Saccharomyces cerevisiae S288C: one gene and its partner. Each later gene encodes a partner of the first gene's protein in a complex. Each region holds a gene or a part of one and is shown on either strand. Other genes may lie near its edges.

What was found.
Region 2: UFE1 (region 1) and USE1 share a complex: the UniProt entries of both Saccharomyces cerevisiae proteins name them as parts of the SNARE complex.

What each region holds. Positions count from the first base shown.
Region 1 is NC_001147.6:466,384-469,817, forward strand, and holds UFE1 (Ufe1p), read left to right. Parts: upstream 1-1,828; coding exon 1,829-2,869; downstream 2,870-3,434. Other genes in the region: SGO1 (Sgo1p), read left to right, coding at 1-160; CDC21 (thymidylate synthase), read right to left, coding at 292-1,206; SKI7 (Ski7p), read right to left, coding at 2,994-3,434. UniProt on the Saccharomyces cerevisiae protein: Syntaxin required for targeting and fusion of Golgi-derived retrograde transport vesicles with the ER.
Region 2 is NC_001139.9:315,438-318,726, reverse strand, and holds USE1 (SNAP receptor USE1), read right to left. Parts: upstream 1,386-3,289; coding exon 648-1,385; downstream 1-647. Other genes in the region: ribosome biogenesis GTPase LSG1, read right to left, coding at 2,174-3,289. UniProt on the Saccharomyces cerevisiae protein: SNARE required for targeting and fusion of Golgi-derived retrograde transport vesicles with the ER.

The DNA of each region.
Region 1 (3,434 bases):
CAATTACAACAATTTCGACAATAACAATTCAAACATTAATAATGTTAATAATAAATCTGTTAGCTTTAGACTAAATGAAGATGATTTAGCAGTATTTGATTTATTTGGAAATGGTAAGGCAGTGAAACATCAACCAAAAACATATCGCACCAAAAAATGATATATAGTCTTTTTGCCCTGGTGTTCCTTAATAATTTCTATATTTTTGCATAATAAACCATTGTATTATATACATTCGATTTTGTGTGTATATACGTAAGTACATGATTTTGTTTCTCCTCGTGCTGTCAATTATACACTCATTTTCATTTGAATTCTTGGATGAGGATTATAATCTTCAATTTCAAAGTCTGTCAACTTGAAATCATCAATGTCTTTAACGTCCCTTTTAATCTTTAGTTTCGGGAATGGTCTTGGATTTCTGGTGATTTGTTCTTTCAAGGCATCAATGTGGTCTTTATAAACATGTGCATCCCCCAAAGTATGAATGAACTCACCTGGCTCCATGTCGACAACTTTAGCAATCATTCTAGTCAACAAAGCATATGATGCAATGTTAAATGGTACTCCCAACCCCATATCACAAGAACGTTGGTACAATAAGCATGAAAGGCGGGGCTTACCGGATCCTTCTCCTTCTTTGGGGAAACTGACATAGAACTGTGAAAAAATATGGCATGGCGGCAAAGCCATTTTGTCAAAATCAGCTGGGTTCCAGGCACTCATAATGATTCTTCTATCGTAGGGATTTGTCTTTAGTTTATGTATAACCTGTTTCAATTGATCAATACCTTGTCCAGTATAGTCGTCATCGCACGTCTTGTATTTAGCACCAAAATGCCTCCATTGAAATCCGTAAACGGGCCCCAGATCTCCTACTTTCCTATCTTTGAACCCCATCTTATCTAAATATTCACGAGATCCATTACCGTCCCAAATCTTAACACCTTGCTCAGACAATAGGTTAGCGTCTGTATCACCGGCCAAAAACCACAATAGTTCAAGTATGATACCTCTAGTAAAAACCTTCTTGGTCGTTAGTAGTGGGAAGGTATCATCACGTAAACTAAAACGCAGCTGGGGTGGTGCAAAAAGACTCAACGTACCAGTGCCTGTTCTATCTGGCCTAAATTCACCTTCATCAATGATTCTTTTGCATAGATCAAGATATTGCTCTTCTTCTTTGTTTTTTCCGTCCATAGTCATCCTGTACCGTTCTGTTATGAAGCTCTCTCCTTGATACTTTATTGTTTGATATACACAGTCACTTACAAGTTTAGAAAATACAATTACAGCTATGCTATAGTAAATATTTCAGGAAACGCGTCAATTAAGGTCTTTTTCATTTTTTCTATTTAACGCGTCACCAAATATTAAGTTTGAGAAAGAAGGTCAAAAAAGCAACACCTCTTCCAACCTGTTCAATGCGGTCCTACGTTGAGGACACAAAGCTAATCTCTTTGAGGTAGCTGCAGTATAATGACGGGACCTTTGCATATTTTATTGGCCTTTTCCAATGAAACTAATTTTTTAATTGAATCTCAATCCCGTCCTTTACAGACGAGAGGGGAAAGAAGCTTGTTCGCATGATCCATCCTGGAATATGGATACATGTCATGTAATGATAAATCATTCCTACCTTTGCTGGTATCTTTCTGAAAAGGGCACATTTAATTAAGAACTGCCAACAAGGAAAGATCTCCGTTACCCTACCCAACTTGTGAGCTCAGATGAATGAGAATAACTAGAATACATACACATACGTCTAGTATCATTTCCCCCGGTGCTGGGAAATCACCCGTAAAAGCAGTGAAGAGCTTATTAACTCATGATGTCTGATTTAACACCAATATTCCGTAAGTATGTTGCTGTTATCGATGATGCTAGAAATGAGCAAAATGGTATAGATGATCATGTTGAAAGGAAACAAGAGGACTTCGGGAATTCTAATGAAACGTGTGAAATGTTTAGGGATTCGTTTATTAAGGAATGTGCAAGACTATTGAAGTTCCTAGTCGAATTAAACAAGGTAATAAAACAGATTGAAAAAAACTATTTAGATGACTTTAATATGAGTGATGCGGAAAAGGACGAGTTTGACATGGAATGCAGGCTGCAAATTCAACAATATTTCAAAAAGTTTGAATTCCTAGAGAATTACGAAATGGAAAGGCATAATTTGTCGCTGAAAAGATTTCAGTCAAAGTCTCACAGATGGTCAAAAATACTTTCCAATAAAAACGACAACACTAAGCATGTGATACATCCGCAAGACATTGAAAATGGAGTTTATGAATTTAGATTAGGTGTCCTACGGTGTTTGAATTTGTGGATAAAATATGTTTCATCCAAATTCACTACCATACAACAGGAAAGATTGATATTAGAAAATAAAATGAATTTCAATTCAACGCCTATGCCTACTTTATCCAACAATGCGGATGATTTCTCTGCAGATGCAATAGACATCTCAGTGTCACAATCTGCTCCCGTAGAAACTGTACAAGACGAAGTAAAACATTATGAAGAGACGATATCCAAATTAACCCAGGAGCAACTACAAGTGTTGGAGACAGAACATTCGGAACTGCTAAATCAAAAAAATGAGCAATTGAAAAAAGTGGAGACTATAAACAAAACAATTTTAGACATTGTCAATATACAGAACGAATTGTCCAATCATTTAACGGTGCAATCTCAAAATATAAACCTAATGCTGAACAATCAAGATGACATTGAATTGAATATTAAGAAGGGAAATAAAGAATTACGTAAAGCGAAACGAGCTGCTGGAAGAACTGCTAAAATGACCACTTATGGTGCCATTATCATGGGTGTTTTTATATTGTTCCTAGATTATGTAGGTTAATATCACTTTCATAAGATATGTGTAAAATGGGTTAAAAAAATCAATCTATCATCAACTTATTACTATTCATTTTATATATTAAACAATAAGTATGAATGCCTAGTATAATTTCTTAGTTGTAGGATTACTGGCATGCAATTCTGCCAACTGCGATAACCTTATGATCTATTGATGTTAAAACAATATTGTTGGTAATGTATTTGGAATCAATCACATTAAGAGCAAAGTCTGGTTCTATAATTTCGACTTCGACAATAAGTGACTGATTTGGATTAATTGAGATGTCGTTAGTCCCGAGAATCTTCACCAATTTTACCGCGTTGTGCGTCAAATTATGGTAAAGAAGCAATTCAGAACCCAAGTCAACGGGATCACTTAGCGCGTGCGTTTGTATTGATAATTTTATTAAACGCAAGGCTAACAACTTTAGTGTGTTTGGTAAATTCGGTGATAGTGTATTCGTCTTTCTAGAGTGAATTATTATATCACCCTTACGAATGTGAAATTGCTTTTTCGTGAAGTCTTCGGTATTATGAATCTTAACAAGAACCTCTAAAATGTCAGG
Region 2 (3,289 bases), on another chromosome or scaffold:
TATGAATATGAGTAGATCGAAGATAGTCGACCCTTACACCGGCAATAAGCAAGGCTGTGTTACATTATTTGATGTGTTGTGTTTGTAGTAGTTTTCTTCAGCCGAATTTGAGAGCACAGATAATATCAATAACATTGTAATGGAATGCACTTGGCTACTATGGACCTTATACATGAGAAAAATTTAGTCCATTATGAGTATCATCATAATGCGTTCAATAATATGACTTAAAATCAAAATCAACTTACTAGTATAACGTAACCGAAGACCCCTCCTTATTTTACCCTCATCGAACACTGCTGTTCTATTAGCTTTCAGTCAGATCAGGAAATGTTATGATTTTGTCGTTTTGTTTAGCTACTTTTGTTTTCTCAAATGTTTATTCTTTTTCAAATATTATATGTATAAAAAGATTCACCGCACCAACACAGAAAGCAATCAGATAGCAGGATTCAGTTTGAGACGGGAAGTAGGCAACTATACGGAAAGGAGAATTCTGCAGCCTATACAAATTTTATTGTATACTTTTTTCTCACAATTTGCTTTTTTCAATAGGAATAATCTCAACTACATGAAAAAATGCCGTAAATATTAATAAACAGTTGAATTTTTCTTCCAAAAAACATCATTCCATCGTTATAATTACATTATAGGGCCGGGAATAATTGAATTATGATAAATGTAAACACCAGTCCGAGAATCATAAAAATGAAAACAGTAATATAAAACAAGTAACTCAATTTACTCTTGTCATATTTCCTTAATTTACCGCTAACATCCATTAAACCTTGAGAAGCAACTTGAATACCTATCTCTGCAGCTCCAAGAACTTGCTTATCTTCATCAAGTGCTGATTGAAATGCCACAGCTCCTTGCTTCAAACTGCCCACAAGTTTGCTCATATCCTGAATCAAATCCTGTTGCAACGTGTCCTGGTCCTCAATTTGCCTATCGACTGATTTCGTAGTTTCATATCCTAAACCCTTATTCTGTCCCTTCCCCAACAATCTCTTTCTCAACTCCATAACAGCTTCGCTATCTTCGTTTCTATCAATAAACTCCTCATTTGGGTATTCTGTTTGCGATTCCGTGTCAACTGCATCTACAGAATCTAAATCGATACTATATCTTCTTGTTTTTGAACTGCTTTGGTACTGTTCGTACTGTGACTCCATTATTTTGTGGGCGTCATGTTTTGTTTGCAGATATTCAAATGCTTCTCTTTGATAAGTATGTTGATACCTCAAAAACTCCTCTGAGACCTTATTGTCGTCACTTGATCCCAGTTGTTTTGTAACTGCTTTCCTTCGTAGACGATTCAAATTAGTTAATTGTTTGCTACTCAAAACGTAGGACAGAAAGGGGTCGTTGGAAGTTTCAGCCATCTTGCCTTGCTATTATGTGTCCTGTCAACCTTTTTTTATTCTCTGTGTATGTTGAAATTGTATTCTACTTTATAAATTTAGTGGTGATAAAGTGGTGAAGCTTTCCTCCGGCCATATTTTATATATACTGACCTACTTTAGGGAAGAAAAACGAACAAATCCAGACCGACATCTGTAACAGGTATCGGTCAGTATCACGCTCATATGACAAGATATAGGGAGCAACTACATGCAATCACTATACGTACGTAAATATACTCTCCTATAAAAAGTAAATATATGAGAAAAATTTCCGCCCATCTACTATCAAACTATAGACTGTGGGAATACTCAGTCATTGTTAGCGAAAAAAGGCGGGATAGAACTTATTTTAGGCATCTTGAGCTTATTTCTTAATGCGTGGGAAAAATTGTAATTTGTGAAGCTTAAGGATAATCAGACGGAAAAGCTAGCTTGGATCCAAGAAAAACTCCCGGTAACCAGGCCAGCAGCCCCTAAATGGTCATCCACTAACACAAATTACTTGAACATGTTGAAATGTGTTGAAGAGCCATGATATTTTTATTTTTTATTCGAAAGAAGAATTAAACTGAGGAAAGAAAGAGCAAATTAATAGAGGGCCGTTTTATAATATCTCTAGGACTCAAAAATTCTTCCAAGAAAATTTGTCCGGGTAACGAACATAGTTTTATTATCTTAGGTCTATTCTCAAATAACGCTGTCATTAATTGGCGAGATGAAAAGATAATAGTACACAGTTTTTTTGAGAAGATATATGTTAGTTACCGCTAATTATTTTCAATGCTAAAAACTTTGCTTTTCGCATTTTTACTTTTGTTTTTTTTGTTATGTCTCTTACCAGCTGAACTATTTTGAACTTTGTGGAATGGTGTACTTAATCTACCTTCGACGTTGTTCATCTTGAAGAAGTCTCTATCCAAGTCCTCAGCGGCATTGTACAATGCAGCTTGTTTACCACCGTGCGTAACAGATTTGGCTTCTTTTTGTGTGTCACCACCAGTGTGAGCTGAAAACGTTAGCTGATTCAAATCACGAGCTAAATCCACGATATCAATGCCTTTAGCCTTAGCAGCATTTTGCACTTGCTCCTTTCTGGTGTCCGGTAATCTGTCGAACACATATAAATCTTTGTTAAATTCTTCACACTCTTCTCTAGTGTAAGGTGTATCATCCTCTAGATGGGGCGGAGGGTTGACATACAGTAATTTCCCATTGACGTAATCTTTCAATATATAACGACTTGCTCTTGGTTCATCAGCAGAACCGTAACCTTGAGTCATATAACCACGAGCTCTGGCGTATGCGACTAACAATTCTTGAGCAGTTGGTATATCCCCATTCCCACCTTCATCCCTTGATTTGGTTTGAATATGGATACCATAAATCGCTTCAATGTAATACTTTGGTATTCTTTCTGCTACTAAACCTGCTGGACCAATATAATCACGTAATTGATCAATAGGTAAAACACCATTACACACGAGCTCACCCTTGTTATATGCAAAGTTTGGGAAGACAAGACCGGGACAGTCACAAAGCATGACAGAATCAGATAACTTAATAGTTTGGAAGTGTTTTGTTTTACCAGGCGTGGATGAAACAGAAACTTTCTTGGCACCCACGAGCGAATTAATAGTGGAGGATTTACCTACATTTGGATAACCAACCAAACCAATATTAATCAGTGGAGGTTGACCGGGCAGAGGTGGCAATAAAGGCTCGTTTGGAGCTTTTGATAAAAACAATTCTTCCAGTTGGTCAATGGACAGAATTTTAACTTTTTCCATAACTTTTTCATCAGCATCGAACCCTTCTTTATCAGCTTCCTCGAAATCTTGTTCTCTATAATCTTCCCCCATTTCCTTTTGTTTCTCCAATAATTG